Linked DNA regions of Arabidopsis thaliana. Each later gene encodes a partner of the first gene's protein in a complex. Each region holds a gene or a part of one and is shown in the gene's direction. Other genes may lie near its edges.

Region 1 (8,314 bases):
GGAGTTCCAAGTGTTAGCCTTTGATGGGGGTTGAGATACGTCAAGCGGAAGTTGCAAGAACATCCTCAGTAGGAGGCTGCATTGGTTTTTGAGAACGTGGTGGTGGTGGTGGTGGTTGTGGCTTTGGCGGTGGTGGTGGAGGTCTCTTTGGTTTCACCTTATTGACTATCTCAGCTTCAACATCAAACTGCATGATGACAAAAAAATACAGCCACACGGGTTCAGAGAAGTAGAGTGTATTTCCAAACGCATCAAATTATTGAGGTTGAAGCAAGGAAACAAACCTTGTAACCACAGCCTGCTACACATGCGTGAAAGCATTCCTGAATTTAAAAACAGAGTTACATGTACAACAATTAGATACGGTTCAGTCCATTTCTCTTTTTTGAAGAAAAAGATTCATTGTGTGAATTACCTCAGAGTATTTGGCATCTCCAGGAGAACGATCTATAACAGCAGTCCATGGTCTGTCTTTTAGCACAGGATCTTTGTAGCAAATTTCACTGCAGTCTCCTACACCTATAGAGAGTACACTACTATTACACCAATTCATTAACTTGGAAACTTAAACCTGAAAAGCAGAAGATACTCTTCATGAACATGTAATTTCGTTATGTAGGAGACAAGCTTGGTTTTTATGATGTTCCATAGTGAGGACAAATCTAACCGCTCATCATTTCATCAACAGTTTCGTTACAGATTACAAAGAATTAAAAAGAAATGCTTACAATCTTCCCATGAGTCACTATCGGCATCACATCCCTTTTTGCAGAATACTCTCCCTACACAGATTCAGGAATTACATTAGTGCTATGGAAAAAATGTCATACAACAACATGGAGGATAAACACTGATGCTAAAGCTGAAAAAAAACCCAGATTGCTATGGAAAAAATGTCATACCAAGCATAAGTTCAGCTAGCTTTTGTGCCCATGAATGAAATTCAGAGATCAGAGAATGAAAAGCTTTCATCAGAAAGACAGAAACAGCCAAACCAAGCCCTTTAACTAGCTTAAGCATACATATATGTCAATAGTTCATAGAAGCAACATGGATACAGAAGCATCTTTGATACCGTTACTTTGACTCTCTCCCTTTAAATTTCTTTCAGTTCATAAACTACAACTTATTATCTTCCACTTTCTCCTACTAATTTAACCATTTTCTTAATTACATGATAGAAAAGCTCTAAGAACTCTGCATAATCTCCCTTACTTGTAATCAATATAAATGTTGCCGATTCTTCAATCTACATTATTCAATTACGAGTCAAGATGGATGTTCTTAAATACTTGCAACTACAACTATAAGTTGTCTCTGGACCAATCTAACCAAAGAAGCGATTCTTGACCAAAATGTTTAGTATAATCGTAATGAAGTAGAGTGCACCAACAAATAATTAGGGTTTATGAATCAAGAAATCAATCAACAATCCAATTTACAGATCCCAATTTCAATTCCAAACAACAACAAAAAGAAGAAACACTCGGAAGACTAAATTGACTTTTGAATCAAGAAATCAATCACCAATCCAAATCAGAACCCAATCTATCAGCTCCAACAACAGATTCTTATCATCATCATCGAAAACTAAACCATCAAAAAACAACGGACCACGAACATCAAAACTCAAAAACGAATCCGATTCACACAAATTAAGAGTCCAGATATTACATACATGGAAGCTGCGTAAATGCTGAGTACTTATTCGTGCATTTGCTCCCACACGGCGGCGTCCATTGCTGCGGTATCATCTCTCTCTCCCTTCCTCCGCCTTCACTCTCCGTCTCTCTCTCTCTTCTTCCGAAAATATCGCTGACGCCACAAAAATGTAGCCGGAGACTTTTCTTTATATAGTAAGGGTGTTTCCGTCATTTAACAATCCAAGCTCTCTAACAACCAAACCGATCCTTTTTATAATCCCATTTAATCAAACCGGTTATTGATACAAACCGGTTATTTCCATAAACTTAAGCCGACTTCTCTCTCTCGAGCCTTTATAAACTCACAATCTCACAAAGCCGTCTCATTCTCTGCGTCCTGTCTCTCTCTTTGTCTCCGAGAGCTCGAGTAGTGAAGTTTGCTGTGCTCTAATCTTCAGAGAGTGAGAATAAATGGAGTACAACGAATACGAACCTGAACCTCAATATGTAGAAGACGATGACGATGAGGAGATTACCCAGGAGGACGCGTGGGCTGTTATATCTGCTTATTTCGAAGAGAAAGGTCTCGTTCGTCAACAGCTGGATTCGTTTGATGAGTTTATTCAAAATACTATGCAAGAAATCGTTGATGAGTCTGCTGATATCGAGATCCGACCTGAATCTCAGCATAATCCTGGCCATCAGTCCGATTTTGCGGAGGTTGTTTCCTCGTTTTTGTTTTTTTCTAGGGTTTCTATGGGAATTCGAAATTATGTGCGGGTTTATCGTGTTTGTGGCGGTTTTAAAGTGTTTCGATTTGAGCTTCTACCGTTTGGGTGCGATTAGGGTTTACCTGAATCTTATTGATGTCCCGAGATTGTCTTGTTATTCAATGCTTGAGCTATATGCTGTTCAAGAGTCAAAAAATGATTTTGACTATTGATGTCCGGATATTGACTTTGAGCTGGTAATCTTATTAATGTCCCGAGATTATCTTTGAGTTAATGCTTGAGCTCATCTCTTTCGAGGAGGATTTATAGTATTGGTTGAAACTCAAATCAGTTTTGGCACTATAAAAATGAGTTTGGTATCTTTTTTTGCTGTCCCTTTGGTCTGTTTTCCTGCAGACAGTCTATTGTTAGCCCTTATCTGAGAAGCTTATCTCAATGATTTCCCATGATTATCTTTGTATTCGATGCTTGAGCTCTTCGCTTTTTTGAGGTGTATTTTCAGTGGTTTTGAATATTGGTTAAAGCTTAAATCAGTTTTTAAGTTTTGTTGCAATTAGGGTCTGCCTTTGTCGAGTAGCTAAGCTCATTGATTTTCCGAGATTATCTTTCCATTTAATGCTTGAGCTCTTCGCTTTTTTCAAAGTGTCCTTTCAGTGGTCTTTATTATCGGTTGAAGCTCAAATCATTTTTGACTTTGTGTGAGCTGAGATATAGCTGTTTTGCTATCTGTTTTTCTGTATGTCTGATATAGCTGTTTTCCTGCAGACAATCTACAAGATTAGCTTTGGACAGATTTATCTGAGTAAACCTATGATGACAGAGTCTGATGGAGAGACTGCCACCCTGTTCCCTAAGGCTGCAAGGTTGAGAAATCTCACATACTCTGCGCCTTTGTATGTCGATGTTACTAAGAGAGTTATTAAGAAAGGGCATGATGGTGAAGAAGTTACGGAGACACAGGATTTTACTAAAGTTTTCATTGGAAAGGTGTCCGAACTCAGTTCATTGTGTCACATTTATTTAGGTGTTTCCATGTACTCTACTGTTCTGATAGTAGAAATGTTTTCTTCTTGTTTGATTATTTGCTAGGTTCCCATCATGCTCCGGTCTAGTTACTGTACCTTGTTTCAGAACTCGGAGAAAGACCTGACAGAGCTTGGAGAATGTCCTTATGATCAGGGTGGATACTTCATTATTAATGGCAGTGAAAAGGTTCTGATTGCTCAGGAGAAGATGAGTACGAATCATGTTTATGTGTTCAAGAAAAGGCAGCCAAATAAGTATGCTTATGTTGGTGAAGTCCGTTCTATGGCTGAAAACCAAAATAGGCCTCCAAGCACAATGTTTGTGCGTATGCTTGCTCGTGCTAGTGCAAAAGGGGTAAGAGAAAGCTAATTAGTCTTAACTCTACTATATCCTTCCTCGAAATTTATTCTTTAAATTCTAGATAATGGTAAATAAATTACATTCTATGTTGCAAATGGATGCAGGGTTCATCTGGACAGTATATTCGATGTACTCTTCCATACATCAGAACAGAAATTCCTATTATCATAGTATTTCGTGCACTGGGATTTGTTGCCGATAAGGACATATTGGAACACATCTGCTATGATTTTGCCGATACCCAGATGATGGAGTTGCTCAGGCCTTCCTTGGAAGAAGCTTTCGTTATTCAAAATCAGCTGGTATCCACTTTTTTTTCACTTGGTTAATGACATTTTATTATGCTTGAGGAATTGATCTTGCAATCACTTGATAACTTTCATATTACTTCAGGTTGCACTTGACTATATTGGAAAACGTGGTGCAACTGTTGGTGTAACCAAGGAAAAAAGGATAAAGTATGTGATAATCTAAACCAATTAAGTTGGACATTATGATCTAAGATGTCAACTATTGAGATGTTCACACTGGAGGTTTGCGATTGCAATATTATCATTGCAGGTATGCTAGAGATATCCTTCAGAAAGAAATGCTTCCTCATGTAGGAATTGGGGAGCATTGCGAGACAAAGAAAGCTTACTATTTTGGGTAGGTATTTAACTCACTTGTAATGTTTATAGACTTAACATGTTTCTGTGTTGCTCATATTATGCTATGATCCGTAGGTATATCATACACCGGCTGCTGCTTTGTGCACTTGGCCGAAGGCCAGAAGATGATAGGGATCATTATGGTAACAAAAGGCTGGATCTTGCTGGTCCTTTACTTGGAGGGCTATTTAGAATGGTTTGTTCCCGGCACACAATTATACACTCTTGGGGATTGTTGAGTATCAGTGTTTTTTTTATCTCTTACTGACCTAACATCTTCTCTACATGCAGCTTTTCCGAAAGTTAACAAGGGATGTGAGATCTTATGTTCAAAAGGTATCTTACATAGTTACTCTTTCTCGAGCCAAAGACTTTAGTATTAAGTTGTTATTCTGTGTTTGGAAGTCTGATTCATGTTTCTTTGACAGTGCGTTGACAATGGCAAAGAAGTCAATCTTCAATTTGCCATTAAGGCTAAAACAATTACCTCTGGCCTGAAATATTCTCTTGCTACTGGGAACTGGGGCCAGGCAAACGCTGCTGGCACAAGAGCTGGAGTCTCTCAGGTTAGGATAATTCTATGTTAATTATGTTTTTGAGTTCCAATAATTTCTTGATGTATGTTATCGGGTTTACTGTTTTGGCCTATTATAATTCATTGCATGATTTATATGGCTCTAAAGACTTAACTAACAACAGGTTCTTAACCGGTTGACATATGCTTCGACTTTGTCACATCTGAGGCGTCTCAATTCTCCAATAGGACGTGAAGGTAAAGCCTCGTTCTTTTCCTGCACTTCTATTTTGTCTCTGTGTAACTGTTCGTACAGTTGGTGTATTTTAGTCATGGTTCTCTTTATTATCCACATCCTTGCAATTTAGATTGGCTTGTACTTTTGTTTATCCCACTTGAATCTAATCAAGTCTGATATGCCAGGAAAATTGGCAAAACCAAGACAACTGCACAACTCACAGTGGGGAATGATGTGCCCTGCTGAAACACCTGAAGGACAGGTAAAATTGTTATATTTATAAAATAAGGGTGTTTCGGATTTTATAGTTCCATTGCTCATTGTGGCTTTGCTGTACCAGGCTTGTGGTCTAGTGAAAAACTTGGCTCTCATGGTCTACATAACAGTTGGGTCAGCTGCTTATCCTATATTGGAATTTTTGGAAGAATGGGGTACTGAGAATTTTGAGGTCTGTAGCATTTCACATTCAATTTCTTACCCAACATCTGCCTCCTTGGTTCTTGTGGTTTCCTGAAGGTCTTAACTTGAATATAGGAAATATCTCCATCTGTTATACCCCAAGCCACAAAAATCTTTGTCAATGGAATGTGGGTTGGAGTTCATAGAGATCCTGACATGTTGGTGAAAACGTTGAGACGTTTGAGACGAAGGGTAAGCATGCAGTTTCTTTCACGTTTCCATATATGCTAGTGAAAATATTGCAACTTTATGCAGAAGTGACATATTACTTTTTCCTCTTGCAGGTTGATGTCAACACTGAAGTTGGTGTAGTTAGAGATATCCGTCTTAAAGAGCTCCGGATATACACTGATTATGGACGTTGTAGCCGTCCGTTGTTTATTGTAGATAATCAGAAGCTCTTAATAAAGAAGAGAGATATCTATGCTCTGCAACAAAGGGTAAAATTCTAATTTTTACCTGTTATCAAAGTATCTTTTGTTATAAATTCCATTGTACCAATATTTGTTTTCATAACCCAGGAAAGTGCAGAAGAAGATGGTTGGCATCATCTGGTTGCTAAGGGCTTTATAGAATACATAGACACAGAAGAAGAGGAAACGACCATGATTTCCATGACTATCAGTGTGAGTAATGAAATGAAGATGTGATTAAATGAGTTTGTGGTGCACTAATTTCTGCAGAAATCTTACTCTTATGTTTGTTGTAGGATCTGGTTCAAGCTAGACTCCGCCCAGAAGAGGCTTATACTGAAAACTACACACATTGTGAGATTCACCCATCTCTGATATTGGGGGTCTGTGCTTCAATCATACCATTTCCTGACCATAATCAGGTACCTCTGTCTAAATGACTTTTCTATCAGAAGCGATTTCATTATGTAAATTCAGTTTCATGCTAACTAACCCTTTACTTTTTGATGTATTAGTCACCTCGTAATACATATCAATCTGCCATGGGGAAGCAAGCAATGGGAATTTATGTCACCAACTACCAATTTCGCATGGTATGTTCTAGGCTCTTAATTTGTGGTCTTTCTTGTCAGCTCTTGTTACATCACTCAATATTTTAAAGAAATTATTATTGTTCTGTCAACCAGGATACGTTAGCTTATGTTCTCTATTATCCACAAAAGCCTTTGGTTACTACAAGAGCTATGGAGCATCTTCACTTTAGACAACTTCCAGCAGGAATTGTAAGTTATTTTTGCTAGAAGTTTTTCAGAATTCAGCATTGCTCGTGTATCAAATCTCTCAAATGTTTTTTTTTCTTCTTCTTGTGCAGAATGCTATTGTTGCCATTTCTTGCTATTCTGGATATAATCAAGAAGATTCTGTCATCATGAATCAGTCTTCAATAGATCGTGGTTTCTTTCGATCCTTGTTCTTTCGGTCTTACAGGTGAGTATGCTATACTTTTGGACGTTTGCCTTCGGTCTTTCCATTTATTTATACTGCAATCACGTTTGCTGACAGAGATGAGGAGAAAAAAATGGGGACGCTTGTCAAAGAAGACTTTGGGCGCCCAGACAGAGGAAGTACAATGGTAAGAAAGTAATTGACACATGGTTCATACTTCAGTGGTGCTTTTTGTAAGTGAAGTTTAACACTTGGGTTTCTGCTGCAGGGTATGCGACATGGTTCTTATGATAAACTGGATGATGATGGTCTTGCGCCTCCTGTAAGTTTATAATTTATTGTTCCTTAATTATTTATTATCTGATATGATTAGGTGACTAATGTTAGAAAGCATATCATACAATCTTTTATTTTTGGTATAGGGTACTAGAGTTTCAGGTGAAGATGTTATCATTGGGAAAACCACTCCAATATCTCAAGATGAGGCTCAAGGACAATCATCCCGATACACTAGACGTGATCATAGTATAAGCTTGCGACATAGTGAAACTGGAATGGTGGATCAGGTAACTTTGGCTTTTCCTTGCAGTTAAGGGTTTAGAAAGTTTCAGGATTGAAATATGAAACTGATCAATTCTTGTAACTTCGTGTAGGTGTTATTGACTACAAATGCAGATGGTTTGAGGTTTGTGAAAGTGAGGGTCAGATCCGTGCGGATTCCTCAAATTGGAGACAAATTTAGTAGTAGACACGGTCAGAAGGGAACTGTTGGCATGACCTACACGCAGGAGGATATGCCATGGACGATTGAAGGGGTCACTCCGGACATTATTGTGAATCCACATGCTATTCCGTCTCGAATGACAATTGGACAGCTAATTGAGTGCATCATGGGAAAAGTGGCAGCTCACATGGGAAAAGAAGGAGATGCTACTCCCTTTACAGATGTCACGGTAACTTGCATTTTCCTTAGCTGCTTAGTTAGCATTGGGCTTGGTATTATTAGTTTTGACCAATGTTGTGTCGTTAGGTGGATAATATAAGCAAAGCCCTTCATAAGTGTGGGTACCAAATGCGTGGATTTGAGAGAATGTACAATGGTCACACGGGCAGACCACTCACAGCTATGATATTCCTTGGACCAACATATTACCAAAGATTGAAGCATATGGTTGATGACAAGATTCACTCGCGTGGACGAGGTCCGGTGCAAATCTTAACAAGACAACCAGCTGAAGGGCGATCACGTGATGGTGGTCTCCGTTTTGGAGAAATGGAGCGCGATTGCATGATTGCACATGGTGCTGCTCACTTTTTGAAAGAGAGGCTGTTTGA
Region 2 (4,840 bases), on another chromosome or scaffold:
ACAATCCCAATCATCATAAAATCTGTAGAGTCCTCTTCCAATCTTAACATCGTAGACAACGTTTGGATTTCTGCAAGTGGAGTGGGTACTTATTACTCTCCAGGTATTCCTGTCCTGCATGAAGTTGTTGTCAACTGTATAGAGTCCGTCTTCCTTAATAAGTATAGTGAAAGAGCTTGTTTCAAGGAACAGTAAATGGTTGTTGTCATAAAGCGTTGTCCACTCAGCAGCATTAAGCCAACTTTGGGTTGATGCTTTAAGTACATGTGCGACATCTGGCAAATATAGCATCAAAATATATTAGATTTGTAGATATATAAATAACTATCTTAGTTTTGCTACAATGTCTTCTTCAATTAGAATTTTCCAAGCATCAGTTCTATCACAAACCTTCTCCTAGATCTCCCTAGAATCCAGATCTGCTACATTCTTAGATTTTTAAATCTTGCCTAAGTGTTACAAATTCCATAGATCTTGCATTCCCTAAATCTTGATGTTCTAAAATTTCTAAATACAATGCCTCGATTTCCCAAATTCGCCACAGTATCTCGATGATCTCCTTCAAAACTAAAAGAGTTTTTAACTAACCAAATACTCAAATACTCCTAATTTGTATTCTTAACCCTTTAACCATAGCCTAAACAATACCCAATTTTTAAAATAATAAATAAACACTTACATTGTTTTTATTGCTTTCTTTGTAAACTATGAATTTTTTTTTGTATATATATATAATTTTATATAGATTTCACTATACATATGAAGAAAATTAATCAGACACATATTATTAGTTGCACTCTCATTTTCTTGGAAGTAGGAAAAATGATATAACTTGTTTAATTGTACAAACATTACCCAATTTTTTTTATTTTATTTTTGTCGTATTGTTTTGGCCGAACCATTTTCTTCTTTTATAAAATGGGAATTTTTGCATTCTATTTTCGTAGACAAAGAGTAAATTAATCATTTGTGAGAGATAATAATAAACTTTGGATGTTCTTGTCTAGTAGCTTAAAATAAAATTGAGTATTTTTGGTTTAGATAAATGTATAAATGGTGTCTAATGTATTCTTACCATTGGATGTTTGACAAATTACACATTTCTCCATTTTCTTTAGAGTAATCAAAGGGATAAGCATTGTAAGAGTTTATAACGATGGTCCTTGTGATGATCTAAATAATGCATTAGGCAGTGCTTGTTGATTAAAGAATGATGAAATCCTTTAACACTCACATGTTAAAATATTTGTTAACATCTTGTCCTTAATATTGTTAAAGAAACTTAACTAAACTTGTTAACATTTTGATTATGGGTGTCAAAATGGGTCAAAATTTATGGGTCAACTCAATTCAACTCAACCCATGAACTCTAATGAGTTCAAAATTTTGACTCAAATGAGTTGATGGGTCAAATGAGTTGATGAGTCAATTGGTTTGATGAGTAAAATTAGTTGGGTTGTAATGGTTAATGGTACTATGAGATCATTTCAAATTTTTTGATACATGGTGTTTTCCTCCCAAATATATGACTATAATATCACTAAATACTATGAGATCTCGTAGAGTTGTTGAGTACGATAAAAGAATCTATGAAAAAAGAACTTAAATAAAGAGGTATACGTTTGACAAAAAAAAAAAGAAAAAAGAAAAAGGAAAAGGTATAAAAAAAAACATTTGAGTTGGGCTTATATGGGCCTGTTTGAAATTTGGTGACATTACTTTTCGCCAAAAGAATTAAAAAGGCCCATATAGGCCCAACTTTAAACATTACTCTAATATTTATATCTTTCTCACTTTTGCTTTATTCTGATTTCTTCTCCTATCTCCTTCTCCGGCGAAGAAATTGAAAATTCATTATCCCTAAAACCCTAATAAAGGTCCAGAGAGTCGTCAGAAACCACCGATTAGCTTTTGAAATGGACGGTGCCACATACCAAAGATTCCCAAAGATCAAGATCCGTGAGCTTAAAGATGATTACGCCAAGTTCGAGCTTCGTGAAACCGACGTTTCTATGGCCAACGCTCTCCGTCGCGTAATGATCTCCGAAGTCCCTACCGTCGCAATAGATCTAGTCGAAATCGAGGTTAATTCATCTGTACTCAACGACGAGTTCATTGCTCATCGATTAGGTCTCATTCCTCTCACTAGCGAACGTGCTATGAGCATGCGTTTCTCTCGAGATTGTGATGCTTGTGATGGAGATGGACAATGCGAGTTTTGCTCTGTTGAGTTTCGGCTTAGTTCTAAGTGTGTTACTGATCAAACCCTAGATGTTACTAGTAGGGATTTGTACAGTGCTGATCCTACTGTTACTCCTGTGGATTTCACTATTGACTCGTCTGTATCTGATTCAAGCGAGCACAAGTAAGTCCCTTTTCATCATTAGATTGTTAAATGCAGAAATGTGGTGTTTCTTTTGTCATTATGAATCGATTGGAGTTGTGAAACGTTAGAGATTAAGCAATGGTGAAACAAAATTTGCATCTTTTAGCATTCCGAGGATGAAAAATACTTCCTTTCGATGGCCCTTTGCATGACTCTTCTTGTTCGTGATTGTTTGATGTTTAATTATGGTGGTTGTGTGGGTTAAAGACTCTGTTTTTGGTTTCGGGTTTCAGGGGAATTATCATTGTGAAACTGCGTCGGGGACAAGAGTTGAAGCTTAGAGCGATAGCGAGGAAAGGGATTGGGAAAGATCATGCGAAATGGTCTCCTGCAGCTACTGTTACGTTTATGTATGAGCCTGACATAATTATTAATGAAGATATGATGGATACTTTGTCAGACGAGGAAAAGATCGACTTGATTGAGAGCAGTCCTACCAAAGTGTTTGGCATGGATCCAGTCACCAGACAGGTTAGTTTTCACGTTTTGGAAGAATGCAGCTATACAAGTTTATAGCTTTGAGACTTAAATATGATTGAACTACTTTATAGACTGCCATGCCTTGAAATATATATATGTGATGTGGTTAGTGCATTTGCTCTTTTCTGTGCTTCTCTTTCTGTTAGATAGCACTACTTAGCTCTTTAGGAGAATTACGCCAGTCATCGGAATGAATCAAATAACTGCTAAACTTCTGGTACCAAACTGAAACATCTTTCTATATCTAATCACTGCAAATTATATGAATCACTTGGAGTATCTCTGTGCCAGTTGAACTTTTGTTTGTGATTTCATGTTAGAGATTTCAAATTATTCGAATGGTAAAGGGAATAAAGAAAGGAGAAGATATAGTACTTGTAGTACCTCTGTACCAGTTGAATTTTCTTGGAGATTTCATGTTAATGGTTCAGTGTTTACTAGGACTCACCACAACTGACAATTTTCCTTTGACCCGCTAGAGAACATTGTATATCATTATAACAGTTACAGTAGTTTATCGTTGGAATTTAGTATGCCATTTCTTTTGAAGTCTGTTGCTTGAATCATCACAACTGTAATTTTTATACTTTGCTTCTTAGGTTGTAGTGGTTGATCCTGAAGCATACACTTACGATGAAGAAGTGATCAAGAAAGCTGAAGCAATGGGGAAACCGGGACTCATTGAGATCAGTCCGAAAGATGACAGTTTTATATTCACTGTTGAGTCCACAGGTGCAGTGAAGGCTTCCCAACTGGTACTAAATGCCATTGATCTTCTGAAGCAGAAGCTTGATGCAGTCCGTCTCTCAGATGACACCGTAGAAGCGGATGATCAGTTTGGTGAACTCGGTGCCCATATGCGTGGAGGATGAACTCAAGTGATTAATTCGAGCTCTTTGTTATACCTGTTTGTTTCAGGTTTTGAGTTTCTTCTGGAGCAGACTGATATTAACCGTAGTGGCACTGTCTTGTTTGATAACATGTGAAGTGGCAGTCTTCTATTTGTTCTGGACCTCTGATCCCTCTGTTCCTGAATCTTGTTAAGTTTGGTTGTTGTTAGTTGTTAGACTCGCTCGTAACGAAAATAAACGCAAGGATTAAATTCAATACATTGAACAAGTATGATTAAAATGGAACAAGTATGTAGTTTAATCTTAAAATTCGTACCATTAACTGAAATGGAATGAAAGACTTTTGCATAGTGGATACCCAATTTAAAGCTCTTAAGTTCTTGAACTTCGATCACACAATAAGTTATGGTGAGTAGCTTCCCTTGGAATGAAACAAGAGACAAAAACTCAAAAGTTTTCGAGCTAATTCATAGGTCCGAAATGATGTCATGGATCTTAGATAAGAGAATTCCGGCATTGATTACTTGGACTAATTATTAACAATCAGATTCAATCAGTAAATCTCTCAATTCTGCTTCCAAAGTGGCAGTGATGACCGCTCGTATCGCTAGTCCTTACGCCATGAGAGGGGATGCCACATTTTCACGCATTGCTGAGTGGTGAGTCGAAAGTCCAGTGGTCAAATAGGTCCAGCCACAATTTTATTTTTTAAAATTATAGGCCACCACATTTTCGTAAGAAAGTAAGTATATCTATTTAGTTGGATCAATTATGGGATCGGCACATTAAAGTTTGTGCTTTTGTGGAGATAGAAAAATTTCACAGTATTCACAAATTGAGGTACTTTTACCTAATGTCGTTTTACAGTTTCATTTTTTACAACTTTGTAAAAAAAAATTTCATTTTGTTTCTTTTTTCTTGTTCCACTATTGCAGCATCGTCTACAACATATCCCATTAATAATTTTAAATCAAACGCAATAGGAGAGATACACGTCTCCGATTAATATGCATTCGTTTCTTGGATTGGCTTTCTCTCCGTAATCAGCTCAAATTCATTGGAGAGCCGGTGAATTTTGTCGCCGTCTCTTTCTTACACGACCTCCGTGTAAACAACAATTCTC

Evidence for each region.
Region 2: NRPB2 (region 1) and NRPB3 share a complex: the UniProt entries of both Arabidopsis thaliana proteins name them as parts of the RNA polymerase II complex.

Annotation. Positions count from the first base shown.
Region 1 is NC_003075.7:11,536,001-11,544,314, reverse strand, and holds the start of NRPB2 (DNA-directed RNA polymerase family protein), read left to right. Parts: upstream 1-1,909; 5' UTR 1,910-2,114; coding exon 2,115-2,363; intron 2,364-3,139; coding exon 3,140-3,361; intron 3,362-3,463; coding exon 3,464-3,754; intron 3,755-3,864; coding exon 3,865-4,062; intron 4,063-4,153; coding exon 4,154-4,218; intron 4,219-4,321; coding exon 4,322-4,408; intron 4,409-4,485; coding exon 4,486-4,606; intron 4,607-4,701; coding exon 4,702-4,746; intron 4,747-4,838; coding exon 4,839-4,976; intron 4,977-5,109; coding exon 5,110-5,182; intron 5,183-5,347; coding exon 5,348-5,424; intron 5,425-5,502; coding exon 5,503-5,610; intron 5,611-5,696; coding exon 5,697-5,813; intron 5,814-5,905; coding exon 5,906-6,061; intron 6,062-6,142; coding exon 6,143-6,247; intron 6,248-6,330; coding exon 6,331-6,456; intron 6,457-6,549; coding exon 6,550-6,627; intron 6,628-6,720; coding exon 6,721-6,816; intron 6,817-6,905; coding exon 6,906-7,021; intron 7,022-7,096; and 9 more. Other genes in the region: AT4G21720 (defensin-like protein), read right to left, coding at 41-187, 285-323, 416-519, 729-782, 1,679-1,754. UniProt on the Arabidopsis thaliana protein: DNA-dependent RNA polymerase catalyzes the transcription of DNA into RNA using the four ribonucleoside triphosphates as substrates. Second largest component of RNA polymerase II which synthesizes mRNA precursors and many functional non-coding RNAs.
Region 2 is NC_003071.7:6,731,745-6,736,584, forward strand, and holds NRPB3 (DNA-directed RNA polymerase family protein), read left to right. Parts: upstream 1-1,789; 5' UTR 1,790-1,916; coding exon 1,917-2,365; intron 2,366-2,619; coding exon 2,620-2,857; coding exon of another isoform or gene 2,858-2,902; exon of another isoform or gene 2,903-3,012; coding exon of another isoform or gene 3,013-3,060; exon of another isoform or gene 3,061-3,465; coding exon 3,466-3,738; 3' UTR 3,739-4,075; downstream 4,076-4,840. UniProt on the Arabidopsis thaliana protein: DNA-dependent RNA polymerase catalyzes the transcription of DNA into RNA using the four ribonucleoside triphosphates as substrates. Component of RNA polymerase II which synthesizes mRNA precursors and many functional non-coding RNAs.